Linked DNA regions of Callithrix jacchus. The protein of the gene in region 4 interacts with the protein of the main gene of each other region in a pairwise test. Links are inferred from orthologs where the notes say so. Each region holds a gene or a part of one and is shown on either strand. Other genes may lie near its edges.

Evidence for each region.
Region 1: the proteins of SNCA (region 4) and TOR1A interact in a two-hybrid assay, tested with the Homo sapiens proteins (2 studies listed by BioGRID, with this or other methods). The link is inferred for Callithrix jacchus from reciprocal best matches to the Homo sapiens genes SNCA and TOR1A.
Region 2: the proteins of SNCA (region 4) and USP8 interact in a two-hybrid assay, tested with the Homo sapiens proteins (2 studies listed by BioGRID, with this or other methods). The link is inferred for Callithrix jacchus from reciprocal best matches to the Homo sapiens genes SNCA and USP8.
Region 3: the proteins of SNCA (region 4) and PRKN interact in binary tests that used the Homo sapiens proteins (3 or more experiments, as listed by UniProt). The link is inferred for Callithrix jacchus from reciprocal best matches to the Homo sapiens genes SNCA and PRKN.
Region 5: the proteins of SNCA (region 4) and CYCS interact in binary tests that used the Homo sapiens proteins (3 or more experiments, as listed by UniProt). The link is inferred for Callithrix jacchus from reciprocal best matches to the Homo sapiens genes SNCA and CYCS.
Region 6: the proteins of SNCA (region 4) and ARFGAP3 interact in binary tests that used the Homo sapiens proteins (3 or more experiments, as listed by UniProt). The link is inferred for Callithrix jacchus from reciprocal best matches to the Homo sapiens genes SNCA and ARFGAP3.
Region 7: the proteins of SNCA (region 4) and CSNK1D interact in binary tests that used the Homo sapiens proteins (3 or more experiments, as listed by UniProt). The link is inferred for Callithrix jacchus from reciprocal best matches to the Homo sapiens genes SNCA and CSNK1D.

The regions. Positions count from the first base shown.
Region 1 is NC_133502.1:178,416,299-178,420,366, reverse strand, and holds the start of TOR1A (torsin-1A), read left to right. Parts: upstream 1-1,152; 5' UTR 1,153-1,216; coding exon 1,217-1,394; intron 1,395-2,128; coding exon 2,129-2,394; intron 2,395-4,068. UniProt on the Homo sapiens protein: Protein with chaperone functions important for the control of protein folding, processing, stability and localization as well as for the reduction of misfolded protein aggregates.
Region 2 is NC_133509.1:38,137,313-38,140,952, forward strand, and holds part of USP8 (ubiquitin carboxyl-terminal hydrolase 8), read left to right. Parts: intron 1-579; coding exon 580-790; intron 791-2,205; coding exon 2,206-2,442; intron 2,443-3,112; coding exon 3,113-3,255; intron 3,256-3,640. UniProt on the Homo sapiens protein: Hydrolase that can remove conjugated ubiquitin from proteins and therefore plays an important regulatory role at the level of protein turnover by preventing degradation. Converts both 'Lys-48' an 'Lys-63'-linked ubiquitin chains.
Region 3 is NC_133505.1:169,264,441-169,268,810, reverse strand, and holds the start of PRKN (E3 ubiquitin-protein ligase parkin), read left to right. Parts: upstream 1-1,444; 5' UTR 1,445-1,542; coding exon of another isoform or gene 1,543-1,549; intron 1,550-4,370. Other genes in the region: PACRG (parkin coregulated gene protein), read right to left, coding at 814-969. UniProt on the Homo sapiens protein: Functions within a multiprotein E3 ubiquitin ligase complex, catalyzing the covalent attachment of ubiquitin moieties onto substrate proteins. Substrates include SYT11 and VDAC1.
Region 4 is NC_133504.1:107,752,589-107,756,228, reverse strand, and holds part of SNCA (alpha-synuclein), read right to left. Parts: intron 2,169-3,640; coding exon 2,026-2,168; intron 1-2,025. UniProt on the Homo sapiens protein: Neuronal protein that plays several roles in synaptic activity such as regulation of synaptic vesicle trafficking and subsequent neurotransmitter release.
Region 5 is NC_133512.1:32,936,080-32,940,194, reverse strand, and holds the start of CYCS (cytochrome c), read right to left. Parts: upstream 2,895-4,115; 5' UTR 2,837-2,894; intron 1,184-2,836; 5' UTR 1,176-1,183; coding exon 1,007-1,175; intron 900-1,006; coding exon 751-899; 3' UTR 1-750. UniProt on the Homo sapiens protein: Electron carrier protein. The oxidized form of the cytochrome c heme group can accept an electron from the heme group of the cytochrome c1 subunit of cytochrome reductase.
Region 6 is NC_133502.1:188,977,267-188,980,906, forward strand, and holds part of ARFGAP3 (ADP-ribosylation factor GTPase-activating protein 3), read left to right. Parts: intron 1-2,096; coding exon 2,097-2,228; intron 2,229-3,163; exon of another isoform or gene 3,164-3,269; intron 3,270-3,525; coding exon 3,526-3,609; intron 3,610-3,640.
Region 7 is NC_133506.1:137,905,549-137,909,720, reverse strand, and holds the start of CSNK1D (casein kinase I), read left to right. Parts: upstream 1-1,284; 5' UTR 1,285-1,334; coding exon 1,335-1,410; intron 1,411-2,102; exon of another isoform or gene 2,103-2,239; intron 2,240-4,172. UniProt on the Homo sapiens protein: Essential serine/threonine-protein kinase that regulates diverse cellular growth and survival processes including Wnt signaling, DNA repair and circadian rhythms. It can phosphorylate a large number of proteins.

The DNA.
Region 1 (4,068 bases), on a different chromosome or scaffold from region 4:
GTGGGAGGCCGAGGCGGGTGGATCACGAGGTCAACAGATCGAGACCATCCTGGTCAACATGGTGAAACCCTCTCTCTACTAAAAATACAAAAATTAGCTGGGCATGGTGGCACGAGCCTGTAGTCCCAGCTACTCGGGAGGCTGAGGCAGGAGAATTGCTTGAACCCAGGAAGCGGAGGTTGCGGTGAGCCAAGATCGCGCCACTGCACTCCAGCCTGGGTAAACAAGAGCGAAACTCCGTCTCAAAAAAAAAAAGATTTTAGTAACGAGAAATTGCAGGGAGGAGTGGCACATGGGAACTCTCTGTACTATCTTCTCAATTTTTCTGTAAATCTGTTCTAAAAAAAAAAGTCCATTACCTTTTTTTTGGCGGGGGGAGGAAAGAGACTCACTCTGTCGCCCAGGCTGGAATGCAGTGGTGCGATCTCAGCTTACTGCAACCTCCGCCTCCCAGGTTCAAGCGATTCTCATGTGTCAGCCTCCCCAGTAGCTGGAACTACAGGTACACACCACCACACTGGCTAATTTTATATTTTTAGTAGAGACGTGGTTTCACCATGTTGGTCAGGCTGGTCTGGAATTCCTGACCTCAGGGGATCCACCCGCCTCAGCTTCCCAAAGGGCTGGGATTACAGGCGTGAGCCACCACGCCCGCAAAAATAACCTCGATTACTTTAATTTTTTTTTTTTTTTTGAGACGGAGTTTCGCTCTTGTTACCCAGGGTGGAGTGCAATGGCGCGATTTCGGCTCACCGCAACCTCCGCCTCCTGGGTTCAGGCAATTCTCCTGCCTCAGCCTCCCGAGTAGCTGGGATTACAGGCACGCGCCAGCATGCCCAGCTAATTTTTTGTATTTTTAGTAGAGACGGGGTTTCACCATGTTGACCAGGATGGTCTTGATCTCTTGACCTCGTGATCCACCCGCCTCGGCCTCCCAAAGTGCTGGGATTACAGGCTTGAGCCACCGCGCCTGGCCAACCTCGATTACTTTAAACAAACAAACAAAAACACGTGGCCGACAAGGGCAGTGCAGAACAGACCTTCCGGAAGCAAAACAAGGCTTTGTCCCGAAGAAAGATGGCGGCCGCCGGCGTCGGTAGGAGGGCTGCCCTGAAGAAAGATGGCCTTCGCGGCAGGAGGAACCGGAAGCGCGAGTCTGGCGGCGGTACTAGTGCGCGGTCGGCGCCAGAACGCGCAGGGCGGCGCGGGTCCGGGCATGAAGCTGAGCCGGGCTGCGCTGGGCCTGCTGCTGCTGGCGCCGTCCGTGGTGCAGGCGGTAGAGCCCATCAGCCTGGGACTGGCCCTGGCCGGCGTCCTCACCGGCTACATCTACCCGCGTCTCTACTGCCTCTTCGCCGAGTGCTGCGGCCAGAAGCGGAGCCTCAGCCGGGAGGGTAGGATGGGGAGGGGGCTGGAGGCTGGGGCTGGGGCTGGGCGATGGCACTGGGGCCAGGCCAGGACCTGGGGATGGAGGCTGGGGGATGGGGGATGGCACTAGGGCCCGGCCCGGATAGGGGTCAAATCCCAGGACGGCCGGGCCTGGGCAGAGCTGAGTCCACGGGGGCTGAACCCCGGAAGCCGAGCGGCCCGCCTTCAGGATGAGGCCTGGCTCCTTGGCCACGACCACAGACGGGCCAGACTTCAGTCGGTGACCAGAGGAGCCGGTCTGCAGGTTGGGCTGCTTCGCGCCACGCTGGGCAGGAGGGGGAACCGGTGGTAACCTCCCTCCGAAGGGGGTTCTGCCTCCTAGCAGAACGGGAGACAGGAAGGATGGTGAGGACTCTTCCGGAGCCGACAGGAGCGGCCAAACTGCCTCCCTTCCTCGCTCTGCCTTGGGGTGGGAGGAGCAGCACAGAAGTTAGGGGTGCAAACTGGTGGCTGTGGCATGGGCACCGAGGCCCTTTTCGGGAAGGAGCCGGGCCAGGGCTTTAGAATAGGCAGGACCAGCAAAGGGAGGCCCTGGACCGCCGTCCGCACTGGGCCAGGAGCTTACAGCCCGTAGTACTTAAGGTTTCGCAAGGTGCTTGAAGAGCGCCTAGGCGGCTTTGCCGGCTTTCTCATGGGCTGTAGATGTGGCTACCTTTTGCCACTCTTTCTTCCCCACTCCCGATTGCCTTTGTCTTTCCAGCGCTGCAGAAGGATCTGGACAACAAGCTCTTTGGACAGCATCTTGCAAAGAAAATCATCTTAAATGCTGTGTTTGGTTTCATAAACAACCCAAAGCCCAAGAAACCTCTCACCCTCTCCCTGCATGGGTGGACGGGCACCGGCAAAAATTTCGTCAGCAAGATCATCGCGGAGAATATTTACGAGGGTGGTCTCAACAGTGACTATGTCCACCTGTTTGTGGCCACACTGCACTTTCCACATGCCTCAAACATCACCTTGTACAAGGCGAGGATGGAAGTTTGGGACCCTTTCCTGGATGTCGTGGGGTTTGGGATCTCTTTGTTGTGGGATGAGATTTGGGAATTCTGTGTTGAAATGAACAAGTCCTGAAATGGTTCACGTCTCAGTTCCCCTTTGAAAGGTGTAGAAATTACAGAGAGTTTGGGCTGCATGGAGCAGTTAACACCATCAAAGCTGCATTGTGGTGGGTTCTGGAAACAGGTCCAGTGAGTACCTACGGTCATGGAATTTTAGGGGTGGATGTGATCAGATCCATCTTAGAGATCATCACATCTCACTCCTTGTCTTTCTTTTTGTTTTCTTTTTGTGTGCGTGAGACGGAGTTTCATTCTTGTCGCCCAGGCTGGAGTGCGGTGGCATGATCTCAGCTCATTGCACCCTCCACCTCCTGGTTCAAGCAACTCTCTTACCTCAGCCTCCTGAGTAGCTGGGATTACAGGCATGTGGTACGACACCCAGCTAATTTTTGTATTTTTAGTAGACATGGGGTTTTGCCAAGTTGACTAGGCTGGCCTCAAACTCCTGACCTCAGGTGATCTGCCCGCCTCGGCCTCCCAAAGTGCTGGGATTACAGGCGTGAGCCACCACGCCTGGGTACATCTCATTTATTTTGTCAAAGAGGAATCATATGTAGCAAGTCCTAAATTGGCTGAACCTACTGCCTCCAAACTGCTTTTTTTTTTCTTTGTGACAGAGTCTCACTCTGTTGTCCAGGCTGGAGTGCGGTGATGCCATCTTGACTCACTGCATTCTCTGCCTTCTGGGTTCAAGTGGTTCTCCTACCTCATCCTCCCAAGTAGCTGTGACTACAGATGTGTACCACCACACCCAGCTAATGTTTGTATTTTTAGTAGAGACAGAGTTTCCCCATGTTGGTCAGGCTGGTCTTGGACTCCTGACCTCAAGTGATCCACTCACCACAGCCTCCCAGAATGCAGGATTATAGGTGTGAGCCACCTCATCCAGCCACAAACTGCTTTTATGGTTGAACTCACTGATTAGCAGCTTGGGCTTTGGCAGCAGACACACCTGGATTTGAGTCCTAACTTTCCTAGCTCCAGAGTCTTGGGAAAGTTGCCTGATCTGAGACATAGGTTCTGACTTACAAAGTGTTGCTTGTAACAATCCAGGGAGCTCTGTCAAGTGTGTAATGTGCCTGGTGCATATTACAAACAGTTGTTAACTGTTGCCTTGTAGATCCTTGTAACAGACCCTGCAAGATGGGCAAAACAATCAGTTTTTTATTTTATTTTATTTGAGACTGAGATCTTGTGTGGCTCAGGTTGGAGTGCAGTGGCGTGATCTTGGCTCACGGAAAGCTCTGCCTCCTGGGTTCAAGCTATTCTGCCTCAGCCTCCCAAGTAGCTGGGACTACTCGCGCCTGCCACCACACCCAGATAATTTTTGTATTTTTAGTAGAGATGGGGTTTCACCATGTTGGCCAGGCTGGTCCTGATCTGACCTCAGGTGATCCACCTGCCTCGGCCTCCCACAGTGCTGGGATTACAGGCATGAGCCACTGCACCCAGCCGCAATCCGTTATTTATCCCGGACTCTTCATAGGAAAAGTGTGGACACGTTTTTCTTTTTCTCTCTCTTTTTTTTTTTGATAGAGCCTCTCTCTTGTTACCACTCAGGCTGGAGTGCAGTGGCACGATC
Region 2 (3,640 bases), on a different chromosome or scaffold from region 4:
ATTCTGGCTCACACTGCTAATCCTAACACTTAGGGAGGCTGAGGAGGGTGGATCCCTTGGAACCCAGGAGTTTGAGACCAGCCTGGGCAACAAGGCAAAACTCTGTCGCTACAAAAATTGGTTAGGTGTTGTGGCACATGCCTATAGTCCCTGCTACTTGGGAGGCTGAGGTGGGAGGATCACCTGAGCCCAGAAGGTCAAGGCTACAGTGAACTATGACTGTGCCACTGTACTCCACCAGCCTGGGTGAGACCCTATCTATCTCACAAAAAGAGAGTAATCTAGAGAAAACCTTCTCTGATTCGTAAAGGACAGACAGGATGAGAGCAGTGCTGGAAGGCAGAACCTCACTGTCATTAACTGGAGTTTGTTGATGAGACCATGCAGGGCTTGCCGCCAAAAGAGGGAAGCTGAAGGGATGTAAGCAAGTCAGATTCAGATGAGAATCTGGTGGTAAGCCTGCAAGTAAATATGTAGTTTAATGTAGCGCTACAATTTGTGAATGATGTCTTGAATCCACTGTGCCTTACTTAACTTTTAAACTTCCTTTATTGTCTTTTGTAATTTTTATTTGCACAGGTCAAATTTATTGGGGCATAAAGGTGAAGTGGCAGAAGAATTTGGTATAATCATGAAAGCCCTGTGGACAGGACAGTATAGATATATCAGTCCAAAAGACTTTAAAATCACCATTGGGAAGATCAATGACCAGTTTGCAGGATACAGTCAGCAAGATTCACAAGAACTGCTTCTATTCCTAATGGATGGCCTCCATGAAGATCTAAATAAAGTAAGAAATTTGATTTTTCTAAGTTTCAGAGACTGTTTAGGGTTGCTCTGTAGCACTGTATTTTTATAGCAATTTAAAATTCTAGTTGGTGACAGTTCACTACTTGTTTATTCAGATAATGACTGTATAAGAGAATTATAAAACATCTGGTAATTTTGTAATATTTGAAGCATATACAGTTGGTATTACTAATTAACAAGCAGTATTGCTGAAAAATTTGCAAATGTTAAAACAGTTTTTGGAGTTTGTGACCCACATATGTGAAAGTAAAATTATAAGCAATTGATCTTATAAAAGATTATAGACAGTTTGAGCATCTTTGTTATATAATTTCACATATGTAATATATGTATGTTATTATTTTTCCCATTCCCTTGCTGAAAGTGGAACATGCCCTATTCTTATGGTTTATTCTAAAATAAGAATTACTCAGCTGGGTGCAGTGGCTCATGTCTGTGATCCCAGCATTTGAGAGGCCAAGGCTGGCGGATCACGTGAGATCAGGAGTTCAAGACCAGCCTGCCCAGCATGGTGAAACCTCATCTCTACTAAAAACACAAAAATTTTCCAGAAACAGTGGCACGCACCTGTAATCGCGACTACTCAGGAGGCTGAGTCAAGAAAATCGCTTGAACCTGGGCAAAAGTTGCAGTGAGCCGAGATTGTACCACTGCACAATCTGTTGCCTGGGCAACAGAGTGAGACTCTGTCCCCCCCACTGCCAAAAAAGAGAATTATTTCATGTAACCAAATGACTCATGTGACTAGTTATTATGGAGGCATGTATCTATATATAAATGACCACCCTCCATTTGTATATTACAGCTTTTTTTTTTTTTTTAAGCACTTTTTAACATGTGCTTTTGGGGTCACCATTCTTACCACCGAATATATATATATATATATATATGCACAATACACTTACAAATATGTATCTATACATATCATGAGGTTACAGCAACAAAATTTTATCTGTCTAGTTGTAGCCTTAATTCCCAGCTATATGTAGGATATCTTTTTTCAAAACCAACCTTTTTAGCTTTTTTTCTGCTAGAGATGGGATTCTCACCGTTGCACAGGCTGGTCTCGAAATCTTGGCCCCACGCAATCCTCCTGACTTGGACTACCAGAATACTGGGATGATAGGCATGAACCACCAGGTCTGACCCTTTTCAGCTTTTTAAATAAAAATTTGGGAAATTTCAGCAAGTCACATTCTTTGATAAAGTGGGTTTTTTTCAGTATTTTTGGCTAGAATTATTTTTGCCACACTCAATGAGATCACAACTCTTTTGTGAGAACTACAAGTATTTCTAAATCTGCATAGTGTTTACATTTACTTTTATTCTTTCATTTTATATTTGAGTATTGTCTTTTGAGATATTAATATAGAGCTTAAATAATCTTATTTCCAGGCTGATAATCGGAAGAGATATAAAGAAGAAAATAATGATCATCTCGATGACTTTAAAGCTGCAGAACATGCCTGGCAGAAACACAAGCAGCTCAATGAGTCTATAATTGTTGCACTTTTTCAGGGTCAATTCAAATCTACAGTACAGTGCCTCACCTGTCACAAAAAGTCTAGGACATTTGAGGCCTTCATGTATTTGTCTCTACCGCTAGCATCCACAAGTAAATGTACATTACAGGTAAATTTAAGATAGAAAATGATTTATTGGATAAAAATGCTGTTTATATGGATATAGAGATATATGTTGTTTAATTTATTTCTGGTCTTTACTCTTATAAACATTTTATCGGTAAAACTCAATATAAATTCTGTTTTATAATTAGGCCTATGTAGATGAGAAAGAATTAGAAAAATTTTTAAAGTACCGTTATTAAATATTCTTTCAGAATTGCTAATATGTTTTTAAGAAGTTTTATAAGTCAATTTGGAAGGTTGTCTGTTGACTTCAAATTAGACCTACTTTTCATAAGCATTTTTTACATGGGGATAGCAAGTAAATGTCCTATTTTCTGTATATCAACAACGTTTCTTATATAATAGCTTATTGATACCTTTAGTCTTAAAAACCTCCAGAATATCATTTCCTCCAACAGGTTTTCCCTGATTGATCAGGTTAGGGGCTTTCCTGTGTCCTGTCACAACACATTGTAGATAGCACTCACCACTCACTGTGCTGTCTTTGTTCACTTGTCTACACTCCTCACTAGATCACAAGCTTTGGGAGGGCAGGAACTCTTCTGTGTAGTTTATTGAATCACTGGTGCCTGCAGAGTGACTAAATAGATGCTCTTTGACACTGTTGAAGAAATGAATTAATGAGTATCTGCTACTTGTTTTTTTTCTGCCAGGATTGCCTTAGATTATTTTCCAAAGAAGAAAAACTCACAGATAACAACAGATTTTACTGCAGTCATTGCAGAGCTCGACGGGATTCTCTAAAAAAGATAGAAATCTGGAAGTTACCACCTGTGCTTTTAGTGCATCTGAAACGGTAAAGGAAAAAGTTTTTCTTCCTGTTCAGTGAAATTAAATGAAGAAATTCTAAGTCCTGTATAATTTATACTTGTACTGCCTGCCATGGGTTCGTAACAAAGAACAATTATCTGGTTACAGTAGATCTAGGGAGATAAAGCAGAAATGTTAGTTCATCTCAGTGTTTTCAATACCATAGGAAAATGACAGTACCACTAGTTCATGTCATTTCTTATGATCATTGCGTTTCAGACATAATTTTAAATAATTACAAAGCATTAAGTAAAAATGTATAAAAAATTATACATATAATTCAAACACAAATTAGCACATGAAATCAAAAATTCAAACAGCAGACTAAGCATAGCCATGTGTTAAATGAAATTTATAATTTTTAAAGTATA
Region 3 (4,370 bases), on a different chromosome or scaffold from region 4:
ATTCCCAGACAGGTGCTTACTAAGTAGCAAAATCTGGCTCAGCATACCAAGTGTAAAGCTATTTAAAAAATAGGAAGGTTTTTAAAAAATACACTATCATGTATATAGCTAAAATATCTGTATGTATTTTTAATCTTTTTTCTCTAATGATATCTAAGATATTTTATTTTTATTACTACAAATAATAGAGACAAATTTGAATTGTATTAGTAGCAGAGATAAATGAGCTAAAGCTTGTATTGTTTAAAGCACATCATCTAAAAAGGCCTATCAGGAAACAGTGTTCATATTAAGTTGGCTTCCAGTACTCTAACAAGCTGACATCATTTTGTAAGAGCCAAGTGTAAAAGTAAATGCTAGGGTATTCTAAAATTTCCTAGGTTGAAGAGAAGAAATTTCTTATTATAGATTACTTGAGTTTATATCAGCTCAGTTGTATATCAGCTCATGTTAAATTTTGCAAGAGTTTATGATTTCTAAGAACTCACCTACTATAAGGCTCTTCGCTGAGTAGGGATAGTTAGGAATTAGTAAGTAAGGGGGATTTTTTTCCTGGTGTAAATAGCGCAAACTGTGAGCTATCGGGGAGGTGCTTATAAATGGGCAGAGTACATCATTTGCCCAAGATTCTAACAACTTAGCCTGCCCTCCACACGCTGTGGGATACCGTCTGCTACTTGCCAAGTAATTGCCATTTTTGGCAAAGACCACCCAGGGCTTGGGCTCAGAGTCCATCCTATGGCTGGCCAACCTCTGTAAATCTCGTGTCCCCTGATTCGGAGCAAGTGCATTTAATTCAGGAAGATCACTTACGACTGAGTTTTTCATCATGGCTTTGACTGTGAAGCCCTCAGAAACCAGGGAGTGAGGCTGGTGCACCGGGAGAGGCTGTTGTGCCAGCAGCTTAGTCCTCTTCGGCATCTTGTCTGGGCATTTGTTTAAGCTCAGGGTCTCTTTTTCTGCCACCATCTTCCTAGAAAATATCTTGTTCTCATAAAAAGTGTAGTAAAAGAATCAGTGGATTTTACGGATGTGAGCAGGAGGTCGGGAAAAAAATGTCAAAAGGCGCGTTAATGGTAGAAATTCAACCCTTTGTAGTGCCCAGGTTGATCCAGATGTTTGGCAGCTCCTTGGTGAAGGGAGTTTAGGGGAGGGGCGGGGCGGGAAGAGGGCAGGACCGTGGCTAGAGCTGCAACAAGCTTCCAAAGGTAAGCCTCCCGGTTGCTAAGCGACTGGTCAACACTGTGGGCGCAGGGCTCTGCCCGCCTCCCCTGTGACGTAAGCTTCCTGGGCCTGAAGCCGGAAAGGGCGGTGGTAGGGACGTGGGGAGGAGACGTGAGAAGAAACTACGCATTAAAACTACGACTCCCAGCAGGCCCAGGGCCGCGTACCGTCCGCGCGTGCGCATTGTTAGGGCCGGGCGCGGGGGCGGGGAGGCCTGGACGATTTAACTCGGGAGAGCCGCTGGTGGCAGGTGCGGGCGGTTGCCCGTGCGAGCGTAGGCCCCCTGTCTGTCGCGCAACAGCCACCTGCCCAGTGACCATGCTAGGTACGTGGGTGCCTGCCAGGTACAGCCTCTCTGCGCCGCCCCGCGTCCCGGTTCGGCGCCACGCCCCGCCTCGGCCGACCGGACCCCCGTTGCCAACTGTCAATGACGGAGCCAAAGTGCCCGTGCCTACCCCGGCCCACGCCGCTGGGCTCCCCAGTTCACTGACGCCGGCCTGGGGCCCCAATGTGTGTGTTCCAAGCGCCCCCCGTCCTCTCCCGCTCTGAGCGTTACCGAGAAGACAGCCTCGCCGGGGACGCCAGTCGGCCCCGCATCCCCTCTCCTCGCTCGCGGTCCCTCGGACCGTGCGGGGTCCCGAAGCCCTCGCTCCGCCGCCGTCCCCCCTCGCCTTCCTCCATCCCCTGGCCGGCGGTGGTCGTGCGGTTCAGTACCCATCGAGACCCACTCTCTGTGGGGCTCTTTCAGGAAACCCCAGCAAAGCATTAAACTCTAATGGAAGGCACCTGGTGAGGATGGTTGGGCTCCACAGAAACTCCTCCAGATGGATCTAAACTTCTTGCCCCTTCGAATGTTTCCTTTTCAACCTCTCGTTGAAGGTCTGAGGTGAAAGAAAAATTAAGAGTAAATAATTGCCGAGATTACATCTTCTGCCTTTTGCAAAATTACGATTTTTTTGGTAAAACCCGGAATGACCGAGCTGCAATTTTGTAAACGAAACTTGGTGGCTATCAGAGTTGTTCATGAACACTTGAAGTGTGAGATGAGCAAAGGTCCTGTCTTCCAGGGTTGTTAAGGCAAAAGTTACTTTAGGGGCTAACCCTGAACATTAATGGAAATGCACCATATGTTTAGAAAACAATGCTATGTGAGATGTCCTTATTATGGAGGTTTCTCCACGTAATGTATGGAGGGTTTGGTGAGCTCGTTTAGGGCTAATTCCTGAGGAGTGTCACTTACAAAACACTTTGGATTGCAGTAAGTACTTTCGGAGTCCGATGCGGTCTGTCCAGAAGAAAGATGAAAGGTGGATTTATAAAATATTAATCTTTATGCACTGAAAATACTTCTCATATCTGCTTTTGTTTATGAAGTTATTGTTAAAATGTAAACATGCTACCCATTAGTGGGAGACTCAGGTCAGGTAACTGGCATTGTCTTTGTCTCTGTGGTAAAACAAGAATGTTCTTCAGCTTTTCTTCCCTTTCTATCATGGTCTGACTTTTGGTGAATGACTTGAAGGTTATCAAATTATGAAAAAATTACAAATTTTATGAGTTTTCCTGAGCTCTTTTTAGGTGACGTCTACGTCAGATTGACTTGTAATCACAAATCTGAACTGAATCAGAAAACCAAGTAGAAGAGGTTTTCCAGAATCCGTGCTGTCAGTAGTCTACGGGAAGAAAATAGCCTGTCTTATTTTGAAGACAGTTAAACACATTTTATTTTAATTCAACTTAATCTAGTGCACAAATAATTTTAAGAGAAACAACCTTATTGTAAAGCTATATGAAGACAGGCACTTAAAATCTAAAGAACATTACCCAGTTATAAATTATTACCTAATAAGTTATATAAATAACTTTATTAGGATGAAATATGTTTGGGCAGTTCTGTTTAGTTTTATCTGGAATTCTTCTTCCAAGAAGGAAGAAATACGATCTTTGGAGCTGATGATTCAACAGTTATCAATTACCAGTAATGACTTGGAGACTAGAAGGTTGGTTTTAAAAAAGTTTTCTCCGACTCCAGCTGTTGCTTTAAATAGTGCAAGTAAGTGTGCATTAGAACATAAATGACTAAATCCATGCCTGCCTTCCTTAGGAAATGTACATTACATAAGAAATTGTGGACAGTGTGCAATACATTATTTTATTCAACTAATTGCATTGCCTAATTCTGAAATTAGACACCCGTCCCTCTTTTTTTTTTCTTTCTTTTCTTGAGACGGTCTGGCTCTGTCACCCAGGCTGGAGTGCAGTGGCACCATCACAGCTCACTGCAACCTCCAATTCCTGGGCTCAAGTCATCCTCCCGTCTTAGCCTCCTGAGTTGCTGTGACTACAAGTGTGTGCCATGCCTGCCAATTTTTAAGTTTTTGTAGAGATGGAGTTTCATTGTGTTGCCCAGGCTGGTCTCAAACTCATGGGTTCAAGCAGTTCTCCTGCCTGGGCCTTCAAAATGCTGGGAGTACAGGCGTGAGCCACTGCACCCAGCCTCATTAGACACATTTCAATAAACATCTGAATGGCCGGTTTGGGATTTAGGTGTGGAGAACAGTGCTAAAGGTAGGTGAAAGTGACAATGATTAAAAGGAAGCCCTGGAGTGATGGATTTTGTGTGTTTGTGAAGATAATTCAGAGCCAGCAAAGACAATGTAGACTTTACCCAGTGATCAGTTGGAGATCAAAATCTAAATAGTATGTATCTGTGATTGTTTTTCTGTTAAAGGTAAGAGCTTTCTTGAAGCTTGCTCCTTTCAGATCTACATTTTCTCTAAGTGCTAAACTCGCCTTAATGCAAATAATACTCTTCCACTTTATTTAAATTCTGGCTTACTTTAAGGTGAAACATAAAGATGCATTTCCTGGTAGAATAGGAATAAACAGGACTGACTGTGACCTCACTGCTAATGAAATGTACCTTCTGTTGACTTTCTCAAAACCAAAGATTTTCTTCTTGGCATGAAGACTGTTTCAAAAATACTTACATTTCCCACGTGGATTATGATTGATACACTGAATATTCTGATCCAGGCAGCTACAGAAACATAATTTAGTTAAAGTCTGTTAAAAATTGTGCCTTTGTGAGCTGGGCGTGGTGGCTCATATCTGTAATCCCAGCACTTTGGGAGGCCAGGGCGGGC
Region 4 (3,640 bases):
TAAGCCCTCTGATGTGTGTATATGAGTGCACTTTTTTCTGGGAAGAGGGTCCATAGCTTTTATTAGATTGTGAAAAGGGTCTGAGACACAAAACTGGTTAATTGATTGTGTACTAATTTAAACTGAGGTCCCTCTTACCTTGTGAAATCTTACAAAGCTATAAATAGAATTATAATTTTAGATGAAAACCAGGACTAAAATTATTATCCCTAATAAGATCATTTGAAAAGCATATTTTGTACAAAGGGGTACCATCATGACCAACAATGCATTCAAGCATTGGCTGAAGAACTTCACTAGAAGCCCAGTCAGGATTTGCCATAATTAGCATTCATCACACCAGACAATAGACATGTAACTACATGTACTAAATTTAAATATATCACAGATATTTTTGTTCTGCCTTTTTATTATAAGTGCTTTAATGGGCTATCAAGGTAAGACTGCTACCTAGGATTACATGAAGTGGAAACAACTCAGAATAGTTTGCCAGCAAATAAAACTTCTTTCTCACAATTTTCAAGATATTCATCCAAAATCATTTTGGTTGGAACTAGTGGATGGCTGAATAGCACTGTTCTTATACTAAGCATACGATTATAAAAGACGCAGAAATAAAAGTCATTCTGCTTACTCACTTATCTCCTTCCTTCCTTCCCTAATTTAATAAATGTTTGTAAATTGTCTAGTACAAGTTGGAAACTCTCCTAGACACTTGTGAACTATCAGTAAAAAATGTAAATATATTTCACTCTCATGGTGCCTACATTCTAGAAGGGAAAAATAAAATAAACAACATACATTAAAGTAAGCATATTATTTATTGTATTTAAAGGTGATGAACACTTTGGCAAGGAAGGAAGGAAGGAAGGAAGGAAGGAAGGAAGGAAGGAAAGAAAAAGACTAGGGAGACTGGGCACACCAGAAGGAAGGAAGGAAGGAAGGAAGGAAGGAAGGAAGGAAGGAAGGAAGGAAGGAAGGAGGGAAGGAGGGAAGGAGGGAAGGAGGGAAGGAGGGAAGGAGGGAAGGAGGGAAGGAGGGAAGGAGGGAAGGAGGGAAGGAGGGAAGGAGGGAAGGAGGGAAGGAGGGAAGGAGGGAAGGAGGGAAGGAGGGAGGGAGGGAGGGAGGGAGGGAAGGAAGGAAGGAAGGAAGGAAGGAAGGAAGGAAGGAAGGAAGGAGAAGGAAGGAAGGAAGGAAAGAAAGAAAGAAAGAAAGAAAGAAAGAAAGAAAGAAAGAAAGAAAGAAAGAAAAGAAAAGAAAAGAAAAGAAAAGAAAAGAAAAGAAAAGAAAGGGACTAGGGAGACTGGGCACACCAGAGGTGAGGAGGACACCAATTTTACATAGGTTAGAGCTAGTTCCATTTTAAATATGGAACCTCATATTGTATTAGTTCCATATTTAAAATGAAAGTTATAATATCTTTGGTAAAATCTTATTTGTGTCCTATATTTGTCAAAAAAAATTCAGTCAAAATTCTTCTCAGAATTTTAAAACTTACCTCAAAAGTATGATCTCTGATTGGTATGTGTTTTAAGTCTCTCAGTTCCCACAAACATGTATTTGGTAATGAACTGTTAAGTAATATGCAAATATGCCATTTAATAAGAGATGATGTCACTATAAAGAAATCAAGTAAAAGAACTCTATTTTGGAAATTAAGAAATTAGGCACAAAGAGATTTGTTATTCCAATGAAGAGAAATTTCAAGACTTATAGTTAACATGAAAGCACTCATTCTTTCTGAAATGTCACACTGTTCCTTTGGCATTTTAATAAATTGTTTGTTTCATTAGCTTTCTTCCAGAAATTGAAAAAATCATGATAATTGTACCATTTGCATGGCGTTTATCTGGGTTAATGCCTGAAGAAAACAAGACCTATATAAAGGTAGCACTTTTTCACAACGGGAGGGTCAGGTAGCCATTTCCCACAGTAAGCATCTTGCTCCCGCCTCCAGGCCTCACATGAAAATGAACCATGATCTCACCAGCTTGTAAATGTAACACAAAGTGTACACAGCCATACCTTGCCCAAGTGGTCCTTTTTGACAAAGCCAGTGGCTGCTGCAATGTTCCCTGCTCCCTCCACTGTCTTCTGGGCTACTGCTGTCACACCCGTCACCACTGCTCCTCCAACATTTGTCACTTGCTCTTTGGTCTTCTCAGCCACTGGTACAAATCAAGAACAACAACAGATTAAAGGGTGGTAGAGTAACACTGACTTAAAATCATTCCACTTCCACTAGCCATCAACTTCTATACACCTGTATTTACACATGCCAAAGACAACTGAGGGGTCAGAAGAAACACAGTAACCAAGATTTCCAAGTCAGTGTGGTTCAAACAAACACTGAATCTTGGCTAAGATGTTTTTGCTATAATCATGCAGTATTAAAAGTGCTTCAAGTTTAATGATCAGGAATGTAAAGCCATGAGTGATTTGGATTTGCTTTATCCTAAGGAAAGTTTAGAGAAAGCAACGCTTACAGGTGCAGTTATAGTTGAACCAGACTCAGTATGAATACTTCATTATTTCAATTCAGTGTCAGTCCTTTGATCTCACACAGCAAGTTTATTTCCATCACACCTTCTTAGCAACACAGTACATACTTCTGAGCTTTTTTATTTTATTATTATTTTTTTGAGACGAAGTTTCACTCTTGTTGCCCAGGCTGGAGTGCAATGACATAATCTTGGCTCACTGCAACCTCCGCCTTTCAAGTTCAAGCAATTCTCCTGCCTCAGCCTCCTGAGTAGCTGGGATTACAGGTGCCCTCCACCACATTTGGCTAATTTTTAAAAATATTTTTATTTTTAGTAGATACAGCATTTCACCATGTTGGTCAGGCAGATCTCAAACTTCTGACCTCAGGTGATCCACCCGCCTCAGCCTCCTTTACAGGCATGACCCACTGCGCCCAGCCCATACTTATCAATGTGTTCAGACACGGTATTATCACATATATATGATTAATAGTATAAGAGATGGCTGTGAAGGAACTTGGATCTTTTTATAGAACTTCAGGTAGTGAAACAGAAGTGTTCTTAAAAAGCAAAATTTGCAGTTATTTTGATAGGCGCAAAGGAGCTAGACAGTATGAAAATGAAGAGGCAATTGAGCACCCTAACAATTTCTTTTCATTAAAGAAAATGTGATATGGTCATTCAGTAGATTTATTTTAGAAAGTTAATGTTTTAGAAGACAATGTAAATAATTTGAATTGGGTTTATAAGCGGAAATTTAATGTCATGTCAAAAATTCTCTTGTTCAGTGAAATCAGCCAGAAACAGAAAGGCAAACACCACATGATCCCACTTATGTGGAATCTAAAGAAAAAAAAGAGTTGATATCATAGAAGCAAAGAGTATAACAGTGGAGGCAAGTGGAGGATGGGGACAGGTTAGTTATATTCTTCCTTAGGTGCTCGTCTAAAAAAATGAAGGCACATTTTCTTGATATGCTTTGTACTCCCCAGATAAGCCACAGTCTGAGAGGAGTTACACCATGTCAGCTGTTTAGTGCTATTCACATGATTACTGTATAGCTTTCATCTCTCCAGTTGAAGAAGCCCATAGTTAAATGGTGTGGGCAAAGCAATTTGTTTTCAAATACATTATGTATGTCATAGAAGCTAAAGGTC
Region 5 (4,115 bases), on a different chromosome or scaffold from region 4:
CAGCAGTTATACAGTTTTGTTTCTGAATGGCTGTTTTTAAAGACAATCCTAAATTATAACTTAGTTTGACTTAGATTGTAAAGAATCCAAGAGTGAAGTTTAATTGGCTACTATTTTAAAAGCATGTGACCTTATAGATCATCTATAAAATGTGTGAAGTGTTAAATAATTTTTTATATTACACATAAACCACACAAAATGCCTTTCAGTAAGTAAAAGGAACCATTTTAAATACAGGGTACTCTAATTAGATTGGCATAGTTAAGGCCAAAAATATAAAATAGCCATTGCTACCCGTTTATCTTCAACCTTGCCTTTAAGAGGCAAACGAACACAAAACACAGGTGAATCTTGCTTGGTTCTGAGACTGTGAAGGAATTGCCCCCATATTTAAATATATTCACATAACCAGTCATATAAATCTAAATATAAAACCAATCTCCAGTAAGTTTTAAGATGGCACTCACCATCTTTGCGAAAAGTTTTAACATTACTAATGAAGTCTAATCATATCTTTAGAAGGGGTGGGTGTGACAGAATTTACTAAATTGGAATTACTATTAAAATCCAAAAACTGAACATATTCATTTAACCACAAGCCAGTCTTAGTCTTAAATCAGGACTGCCCAACAAAATATTCTGTCAGTCATTCATGATGTAAATTCTGGTGTATGAGATCTATTAAAGTACGGTACACATAAAAAAGTCATGAGACATTTGTTTTGTAATAAATAAGGCAGTGGCCAATTATTACTCATTAGTAGCTTTTTTGAGATAAGCTATTAAGTCTTCCCTTTCTCCCTTCTTCTTAATGCCGACAAAGATCATTTTTGTTCCAGGGATATACTTCTTGGGATTCTCCAAATATTCCATCAGTGTATCCTCTCCCCAGATGATGCCTAAATGATAAAGAATGCATCCATTAAGTATTTCACACTCCGGAGTTTGCCACAGGTTACGTTCATGCGTTTTGTGCTGTTTTATTTAACAAGTGTTCTCCTCTTACCTTTGTTTTTATTGGCTTCAGTGTAAGTGAATCCAGAGGCCTGACCTGTCTTCCGCCCAAAGATACCATGGAGATTAGGCCCAGTCTTGTGCTTGCCTCCCTTTTCCACCGTGTGACATTGGGAACACTTCTGAATAAAAATCCTCTTGCCTTTCTCAACATCACCCATATTGAATTCTAAAAACGAAAGACCCAACAATAATTTTTCTTCAGGTAACAAATACAGTGTAAACTAATGACCACTCTAGTCACTTAATTACCAATCCATTGATAATTTATGTCATTAAATACTAAGATGAATCTTCTTTTGCTTTAATACTTTTTATACCCAATACTCTTTCATACCAAAAACATTTTTTAGGAGCACCTCCTTAAAAACCTGTTTTTGTGTGTATACGTGAAGGAAGGTTAAAACCCAAGCAAGCAAATGGGAACGTAATTCAAACTTCAGTTTCAGAAGATAAGGTCATGATCACAAACAGTCACAGATACGAAGCAGAACAGCGAACATTAAGTGAAAATCACCACAACTGCAACTTTTAAGAAGGTCTAATCATTTAATCGTACTACAATGTAAAGCCACCTCTCCCTGAGGATAATGCAAAGCACAAATGTTTAAAAATCGGTCCTGGGTCCCGGCGCGGTGGCTCACGCCTATAATCCCAGCACTTTGGGAGGCTTGGAGGGGTGGGTTGTCATCACCAGGTCAGGAGAACGAAACCACCCTGGCTAACATGGTGAAATTCTGTCTCTACTAAAATACAAAAAAAAAAAAAAGCCGGGCGCGGTGGCTCATGCCTATAATCCCAGCACTCTGGGAGGCCAAGAGATTGAGACCATCCTGGTCAACAAGGTGAAACCCCGTCTCTACTAAAAATACAAAAAACTTAGCTGGGCATGGTGGCGCGCGCCTGTAGTCCCAGCTACTCGGAAGGCTGAGGCAGGAGAATTGCCTGAACCCAGGAGGCGGAGGTTGCAGTGAGCCGAGATCGCGCCATTGCACTCTAGGCTGGGTAAGAAGAGCGAAACTCCATAAGAAAGAAAAAAAAAAAAAAAAAAAAAAAGCCGGGCGTGGTGGTGGAAACCGGTAGTCCCAGGTACTAGGGAGGGCGAAGCAGGAGAATTGCTTGAACCCGGGAGGCGGAAGTTGCAGTGAGCCGAGATCGTGCTACTGCACTTCAGCCTGGGTGACGGAGCGAGACTCCGTCTTCAAAAATAAATTAAAAATAAAATAAACGGTTCTGATTGTTTCTACCTGCCCAGGGCACAAGAGTAGCTTGACACTACTCCTGCGTGAATTGGAGCGCAGGAGTAGGCTGCACGGTGTCCCCAAGAAATCCCCAACTCTCTTACCGGTGATCCCCCCGAGGTGACCACGAGGTCACCCATCCAGGTCGGTTTCAAGGTGACTGATGAAACCCACGTTTCTAGGACGCCGCAACGATTGAAAGAACAAACATGTGCCCACGAAAAGAACAACCCCTTATTAGAGGAGCAACAGCTTTTGCCCTCTGAAGCAGAAAATGAAACGCTACGCTTCGGTTTTAAGGGAGGGAAGTCTGGCCTATCGTTTCCATAGCCCTTCAACAACCACGACGGAAGAGGACGCGTCTTGCCGTCTCCAGTAACTGACCGAGACCTTAGTTGGGCTTCCGCCCTACCTCAAGCGGTTGATCGCCTGGCTCTCGTTTGACCATAGTCTAGGGTCCTCACGTCCGGCCTTCCCACCCCGCGCGGGCTCCCCTCGAAGGCTCCCCGCGTATCCTCGCGAATACGTGCCCCCCACAGCTCTGCTTCTAACCAGATGCGGCTTCCGCGACCCGCTCTCACCTTTTTCGTGGTTAGCGCAACAAAGACTACCACTCAGAAGCCGGACGTCCCACTCTCTAAGTCCAAGGACACGCCGGTCCGCGCCTAAGTACCAGTGTAAGTGCAACCAAACTCGCTCCGCCCTCCCGCGCCCTGACGTACAGCCGAGCTTGCGGCTACGCAGTGACGTTGCCGCGCTTCATTGGCTCCAGTGCCAATGCTTGCGCCAAGGATCTGCGCGCGCATACCAGCGAGCAGGGTAGGCTGTGCGGCGTGCGTGCCCTTCCTCTCCAGGCCTCTCTTGCCGGGCCGTTACGACAGGCCTTTGGTCAAACGACGTCGCGGTGGTGCCGGGAGGGGTGACGTCACTCGCAGGTCTTTGTGCGCTTGCGTATACTAGAGGGGCGGGGAGGGTGGGGCGGAGTCGGTGGTGGTTTGGCGCGTTACCCTGCTAAAGTAACAGGCCTGGTGATGTAATGAGCTTTGTTTGGGCAGGGCGTTCCGCACGTCCAGGAGAAGACGCCCTAATTCTGGCTCACCTAGAGGTCTCCTAGCTACCGTCTCGTCAGCAGACGACCTTTACCCAGGCTCTGTCATACTAACACTGCTGGCGCCAACAGCATCCCAGAGGCACAGCCTGGAACCAGGAGTTAGACGAGTTGGGCACTTGCTCGTGACCTTGTTCTAGTTCCACCTCTACTGTGTTACTTTCAGTCATCTTCTAGCTCTCCGCTTGTTGGACGCCCCAAGAATGGGGAAGGTGCTGCATTTGCGGTAGAGACAATTATATCTCTGGCCCCTTACCTGTCGGCAACTTTTCTGCCAGCGCCCTCCTCCCCCTCACGTTCGTGTGCAGAAAGAACATGGAAGGTGTGTTGGCACCATCTAAGAAGAAACATGTTTAGATGATTAGAGAATTCTTGGAAATCTAGAGGATTTGCATCCCTTCTGACCTAGGTAAATGTCATGTTCAAGTAAGCTTATGCATGAGGTCTTATTAGAAATAAAGGCGTTAATACCACAGCTTTTAGTTATTATAATTTAAAACTAGATCCCCTTCCTGACATGCTCAGTTCTGTCACTGGTTTTTTTTTTTTTTTTTTTTTTTGACACCTTTACTCCTCAAATTCTAGCCCCATGTTCTGATTAATTTTCATCCTTTCTTGTATTCTCTCCCCTCCACTCCCTCGCCTTGTATTCTATCTGACACTGCCGTATTCAGTCGTATTCATTGGCCGGACAAGGTGATTCACACCTGTAATCCCAGGACTCTGGGAGGCCGAGGCGGGCTAATCACCTG
Region 6 (3,640 bases), on a different chromosome or scaffold from region 4:
CTTAGCACTATTGGTTTGACTTACCTGTCTTTATTTCTAAGCCTTCCCAAGGGTGCAGAGTCACCCTCCAAACTCCAGAAAGGAGCGCTCTCATTTCAAGCCAGCGGGGGTTAGGGGACATAGGGAGGGAAGGCTCACATCAGTGATCATTCAGCTTACCCAGTGGAGCTATGAGTTATGGGTTTGGAACCATCCTTTTTGTATTTGAATCTTAACTCTGTCCTTCACTACCCATGTAACCTGGGGCAAGTTGTCGAACCTCTGAGTGCTTCATTTTCCCCATCTGTAAAGTGTAGATAGTAATAGTGACTGTCTGAAGTGTTGGTGTGAGGATTGAATGAGATGATGCCCATAAAGTACTTGGGACAGGATCTGGAACATGTCAGTGACCAATATCATTATTAGTCAATTGTTAATAAAAGGATCACTGGCCGGGCGCGGTGGCTCACGCCTCTAATTTCAGCACTTTGGGAGGCCGAGGCGGGATCACAAGGTGAAGAGATCGAGACCATCCTGGTCGACATGGTGAAACCCTGTTTCTACTAAAATTACAAAAATTAGCTGGGCATGGTGGCACACACCTGTAGTCCCAGCTGCTCGGGAGGCTGAGGCAGGAGAATTGCTTGAACCCAGTAGGCGGAGGTTGCGGTAAGTGGAGATCGCGCCATTGCACTCCAGCCTGGGTAACAAGAGTGAAACTCCATCTCAAAAAAAAAAAAAGGGATCACTTATATAGATTTTTAGAAAACCTGTTCTAATTAAGATCTGAATTCTATAATTTATGTCTATACATGGATCCTCATGAAGTGGGTGAAAGCAGTTTTTTCTAATTGTTTAAATACTTGTTTTATTATCTTACCTATATTGTAGTCTCTGTTAATGACAAAGTAGTGCTAAAAAAGGTAAATGTTAATGTAGCTCCTAATTTGTCAAAAATTCTGATTTAGTAGAATCCAAATTGAGATTGATTGTGGACTGGGTGTAGTGGCTCACGCTTCTAATCCCAGCACTTTGGGAAGCCAAGCTGGGAGGATTTCTTGAATCCAGGAGTTGGAGGCTGCAGTGAGCCATGATCATGCCACACTACACTCCAGCCTGGATGACAGAGTCAGACCGTCTAAAAAACAAAAGGGTCAGGAGCAGTGGCTCACGCCTGTCATCCCAGCACTTTGGGAGGCCAAGGCAGGTGGCTCCCTTGAGCTCAGGAGTTCAAGACTAGCCTGGGCAACATAGCGAGACCCCATCTCTACAAAAAATACAAATTAGCCAGGTGTGGTGGCACATGCCTGTAATCCCAGCTACTTGGGAGGCTGAGGTGGTGGGATCGTTTGAGCCCAGGAAATGGAGGTTGCAGTGAACCTAGATGGAGCTACTGCACTGCAGCCTGGGGAATAGAGCAAGACTCTGTCTCAAAAACAGAAAAAAAAAAAAGTGGCTGGGCATGGTCACTCATACCTGTATTCCTAGCACTTTGGGAGGCTGAGGCAGGCGGATCATGAGGTTAGGAGTTTGAGACCAGCCTGGCCAACATAGTGAAACTCTGTCTTAAAAAATAAGGAGCCGGGTGCGGTGGCTCACGCCTATAATCCCAGCACTTTGGGAGGCCAAGATGGGTGGATCACAAGGTCAAGAGATCGAGACCATCCTGGTCAACATGGTGAAACCCCGTCTCTACTAAAAATACAAAAATTAGCTGGGCGTGGTGACGCATGCCTGTAGTCCCAGCTACTAGGGAGGCCAAAGCAGGAGAATTGCTTGAATGCAGGAGATGGAGGTTGCGGTGAGCCAAGATCACATCATTGCACTCCAGCCTGGGTAACAAGAGCGAAACTCGGTCTCAAAAAAAAAAAAAAAAAAAGGAAAGAAAAAAGTAGACATATCCAAGTCACGGCACCAAAAAAAAAAAAAGAAAGAAAAGAAAAGAAATTGATTGTTTATGAATTAAAAGTAGTCCCAAGTAGAAAGTTTCTCCCGAAATAAATTTCACAATGACAGAGGTGGTTTATTGGGCAAATGAGGACTAGTTATTTCATTTTATAATGCAAGCAGTATAGCTAGTTTTACCAAAATATTAATCTGTATGCTTTTCTCTGTAGTCTTCCTTTTTTCATCAACATGGGTGTGCCACCAATGACACCAATGCCAAGTACAACAGTCGCACTGCGCAGCTCTATAGGGAGAAAATCAGATCACTCGCTTCCCAAGCAACACGGAAGCATGGCACTGATGTAAGTCACTGGAGGCTGGATTGTTTCCTTTAGATACACGTTTGCTTAGTAGAAAGTGATTTTTATCCTGAATAATAAAACGTTTCTGCCTGAGTTGTCTTACAAGGAAATAATGTACAGTAGATTATTATTATTTGAAATAGTTATGTTCTGCGTGAGCACTGGATTAGTGAATACTGAAACATTGCTCCTAGGAGAAATACAGGATTAGGTTCCTATGAGCTTCTGGTCTCATTTTCGTCAGCTGATCGATACATAACCTTATTTAACATGTGTTTCTATTTAAAGACACCTTTTTAAATATGTATTGATGACTCATGAATATTGAACTCACAGCCAAGGAGTATAACTCAGCCCTGAATGAAGCTTATTTAACACCTGGGTTTTTTCTCCGTAAGACACATCATAGCCTTCATGTGTTTCATGGGAACAAACGTTAGATAGCCCTTCAGTACTGCACTTGAGAGCCGTCTTAAACAATGACATCCTCAGTAAAAAGCACAGAAATATGAAGGACGTAGCACTAAATAAAACTACAGAAAGGGCATTTGTTTATGAAAACTGAAACAAGAAGGCAGAGTGTGTCTTGTTCCACGTCAACTGGGAACGTGCTTCTTGGGGAACGCATGTTTTGCTGCACTGTTCTCCCAATGACTGAAAACACCACGAGGACTGATTTTGGGGTTAAAAGTAAATTTTAGCAAGTAGGTAAATTCCTAAATATGAAATCCATGAAAAATGAGGATTGATTATCATTTAGAACCTGCATTTAGATATGAAGTCCTTGATCTTTCCTTTTCAGAAATGGTTTGTGTATTTGAGGTACTTGACTTCCTCAAGGTTCAGAAGCAAAATTTACTGGATGATAGATTACTAAAGTGCACTCAGAGGTCCCATGTAGGCATGTTACCGATTTTATAAGAATGGAAAGTGCCGTGCTTGCTTCAGCAGCGCATATACTAAAATTGGAAAGATACAGAGAAGATTAGCATGGCCCCTGCCAAGGATGACACGCAAATTCGTGAAGTGTTCCATATTTAAAAAAAAAAAAAAGCCGGGCGCAGTGGCTCACACCTGTAATCTCAGCACTTTGGGAGGTTGAAATGGGTGGATCACCTGAGGTCAGCAGTTGAGACCAGCCTGACCAATATGGTGAAACCCTATCTTTAAAAAAAAAAAAGAATGGAAAGCGCCAGTCTTTAGGAAACAGGTCTCTATAAGGGAAGTGAAGGGTATCAAATAAAACCCTTTACAGGCCAGATGAAATGCTTAGCCCCGTGTTGTGTTTTTGTTCTAGCTGTGGCTTGATAGTTGTGTCGTCCCACCTTCGTCCCCTCCACCAAAGGAGGAAGATTTTTTTGCCTCTCATGTTTCTCCTGAGGTATGTATTATGCTTCACATAATTTTAAAGT
Region 7 (4,172 bases), on a different chromosome or scaffold from region 4:
GGTGTCTGGCTGACTGCATCTCCTGTCTTCAGGCCCTACTGTGTAACTTCAGGAATGGATATCTGCCTCCCCGGGATATCTACCTCCATGGGAGCTGAGGGGTGGAGAGGAAAGACGGGGATGGAGACTGGTGGGTGCCACTGCAGGGCCCTTCGGGGGCTGCTTTCCTCTTCTGCAGTGACCCAGATGCCAGCTGAGGCTTCTGTCTCACTTAGGCCACGGTGCCCACACCAGAGCCCTGAATTCACCTGTTTCACCTTCTTGAGTTTCAGCAAGGATGGGACAGGTTGAGACAGGTGGACATGGGACCACGGGGACTGGTTCTTCATGGTCCCCATGCGCCGCAGCCTGGGGGGGCTTCTCTGGAGGGCTTTCTTCCCAGTGATGGGAATCAAAGGCCCCAATCTTTGAAGCTGACCGTCAGCCTGAACGTGCACATCCTTGTTTTCTTTTGCAAGGAGGAATATTCAGATCCAACACAGATAAGAATGTTGACTCGGTCTCCAGGCCGCAGGGACTGGTGGGAGGCAGGTGGTCTGTCCTCATTTTGTGAAAGGTGGTAGCCTCGTCCTCATCCTTCAGGCTGGACATCAGGACCTCCCAGGGTGCGGGCCTCTCTGTCTCTGGCCTCAGGTGTCAGGAGGCAAAGCCGCTGACGTCCTGAGATGCCCCACGCCCGGGAACTGGCAGCCAAGTGAGAAGGTCTCACTTGTGTCCTCCGGGCCGGGCCTCAGCTACCTGTTCCCTCCTGCAAAGGGCACCGCCTGTCTCCAGGAACTCACCTGGCTCTCCCGAAATCTCGGGGGACACACGAAAAGCCCCAGTGAGAGCGGTAGGAGCCTGCACGTGGAAGGGGCTGGCGGCCTGAGGTCCTGGGATAATGGGCGGGCAGAGGGACTGGGGCCCTGCGAGACGGTGCAGGGTCCGAGGAGGCTGGGAGCGCTCGCCCCACCCGCCCCCGCCCCTCGAGCACTGCGGCCCCACCCGCCAGGGGGTTGCCAAGGGAAGTGACGTCACAGCGCGATGGCGGCGGCTCCTTCAGGCTGCTGAAAGGGGATTTAGGCCCCGAAGATCCGAGTCCATCCGCGGCGGGGAGAGGGCAAGCGGCGCCGGCAGGGGCCGGAGCAGCGGCGGCGGCGCTTGGACTGTCCCATCCGCCCCGTATTGAGGCGCTGGGAGCGACGGGGCAACGGGAAAGCGATGGTGAAAGCGGGGCCGTGAGGGGGGCGGAGCCGGCAGCCGGAGCCGCAGTAGCGGCAGCAGTGGCGCCGCCTCCCGGAGCTCAGACCCAGGAAGCGGCCGGGAGGGCAGGATCGAACCGGGCCGCCGCCGCCATGGAGCTGAGAGTCGGGAACAGGTACCGGCTGGGTCGGAAGATTGGCAGCGGCTCCTTCGGAGACATCTATCTTGGTGAGGCCCCGCCGTCCCCACCCGCCGTTTGAGGACCCGGGCCCCGCGGCTACCGAGACCAAGTGCGACCGCGGAAGGAAGTGGCGGCCCCCGCGGGGTCCGCGCGCAAGCCCTGCCGCCGCCGGGTCGTCGCTAGAACCCAACGGCCACTAGACAAGCGCGGCCGGGGTTGGGGAGGACAGTGGGGCGTGGACCTGGGGGAGGGGCAGGGTCGGGGGGTGGGGGAGCGGGGTCTGGAGAGGGGAGGGGTGGGAAAGAGGGGACAGGGGAGCCGACCCGGGGCGGGGCACGGTCTCGGGGGTGCGGAGTCGGGAAGGGGCAGGGTCGTCGGGGAGCGGACCCGCGAAGGGCTGGGTGGGGCGTGGGGAGGCGGGCCCAGGGGAGGGGCAGGGCGTGATGGGGGCCGCGGCCCGTGGGAGGGGAGGGGGAGGGGGCGGGGCAGGGCCGGGGCCGCGGGCGAGTGTCGGCTTGCTCCGCGCCTGAGGTCTCCGAGATAAACAAAGGCCATGCTCTTTCTTTCGCAGCCCTGTCCGAGGATGTTTGGCTCCCCAGTCAGAGGCTGCCCATGCGTCTTGCACGCGTGGGGGATAATGTCAGAAAGACCCGAATGCCGTGTGGAGCTGGGGGAGTGGCCTGGCTAGGAGCGGGGCTTGCCCTCCACCTCGCGGCCGCCGTCATGACTGACCGCTGGGGGTTCTCTCTGCACTGCGACCCTAGGCCTTGGAGCGGTGACTGAGTGCAAATGAAAGTCCCACAGGGTTAAGATGCTGGCAAAATGAGAGGCCCATGAAGTAGTAGTACTCATGAGCTGTCCTTTAACATTCTCAAGGTAGATTTCAAAAAAAAAAAAAAAATGGGATTAGAACATTCTGGGTTGTCATATTTACAACAGAAGAATATGCATGTGGGCACAAGTGTATTGAAAGATTGGCTGACATCTTCAAGTTTGTAAAAAAAATTTATTTTGAGATGGAATTTTGCTCTTGTTGCCCAGGTATAATGGCATGATCTCAGTTCACTGCAACCTCCACCTCCAGGGTTCAAGCGATTCTCCTGCCTCAGCCTCCCGAGTAGCTGGGACTACAGGCGCGTGCCACCACGCCTGGCTAATTTTCTATTTTTAGTAGAGACAGGGTTTCTGTATGTTAGTTAGGCTGGTCTCAAACTCCCGACCTCAGGTGATTCCCCGCCTCCCACCCCTTGGCCTCCCAAAGTGCTGGGATTACAGGCATGAGCCACCACGCCCAGCCCAAGTTTGTACATAATTTTAAAGTAACTTAATTTTCCGTACTTGTCAGTGGGATTGTGCAATACAGGAGTTATTCCAAGACCCCCTGAACTTGAGGATGTGTAGCCTCGTGGGCAGTGTGCCTGCAGAAGGCCTGATGCAGACCTTTGAGGGGACCTATTCTCTGTTCCAGCAGCCCCATCTCTGGGGTGTGTTTGGCTGGGGCACAGCCAGGGTCCGGAATCCTATGGGATGTCAGTAATGCCTCTGGTCGCACTTTTTAGATTAATCCGCATGTGAACAGTCCCTACATCTCATACCCTTCTCACTTTTCACCTGAGAGATGACTCAGGACCCAGTGGGCTGACAGCATTAGGCTGAACCCATACATTTGGGTGGGTCATACTTTGGGTGCCTGGTTAACCTACCAGTTAACCCTGTCACATGCCATATTGTTGCTTTTGAACCTGTATATATGCCTTAGCAGCCTGTGAGTAAAACACGCTTTAGATGTTTGGGTTGACTAAACATTTATACCCAGGTGGTCAGCTGGATATGTTCTTGGCAGTGTTTTGGAAGTCAGAGTGCTTGGTAAATGGAAGGCATTTGGCTTATTTATAGATTGATAGATTTTGGCAAAAGTTTTAACTCCACAGTCTGAGTTACACTGCAAAGCCAGTCCATTAACCACTCTTAGGCAGGCATCAAAAAGAAGTATTTTAGGCTGGGCGCAGTGGCTCATACCTGTAATCCCAGCACTTTGGGAGGCCAAGGTTGGCGGATCACTTGGGGTCAGTAGTTTAATACCAGCCTGGCTAACATGGCAAAACTCCTTCTCTACTAAAAATACAAAAATTAGCCGGGTATGGTGGCCGTCACCTGTGATCCCAGCTACTCAGGAGGCTAAGGCATCCTGAGAGGTACAGATTGCAGTGAGTCAAGGTCACACCACTGCACTCCTCTGAGACCTTGTCAGAACAACTTTGTGCTTTCCAAAGATAGATTCAGACAAATTCTGGTGTGGTTGTTACCAAGTCGTTCACAAAGGTGGAAGGTGGCAGGCTGTCTGCTCACTCATGGTTGCACCCTCAGGCCTCACCTCATGCTGGGCATGCAGTCACGCTGGAAACCATTAGGGTAGGGATTTCCGGTGACTGTGGCTCTGGCGCCCTGGGGTTGGAGCCTTCAGACAACCATCCATCAGGGTACATGTCCAGTTACTTGAGTGGGGTTGGGCACAGCTGATTTGTTTTTTTTCCATCAGCATTGGCTCCTGGCCTACATTTCAGTCCTTTCAGACGACCCCCCTGAGGAAATGAAAAGTGAAGTGGTCATGTAACCCGGAGTAAGGCAGGCTGGAGGAAGTGTGGGTCTGCGCAGAGCAGCAGTTAGAGTCAAGATGGCTGATCTGAAGACCGTGAAATCATCTCCACCATAGTTGGTTTGGGCAACCTGTTAGACACGAATCGAGGGACTGGACCTGTGTGTGTTGTGTGTATTCTCATATGAGCATAGTTAAAACCATTCCTGCTGC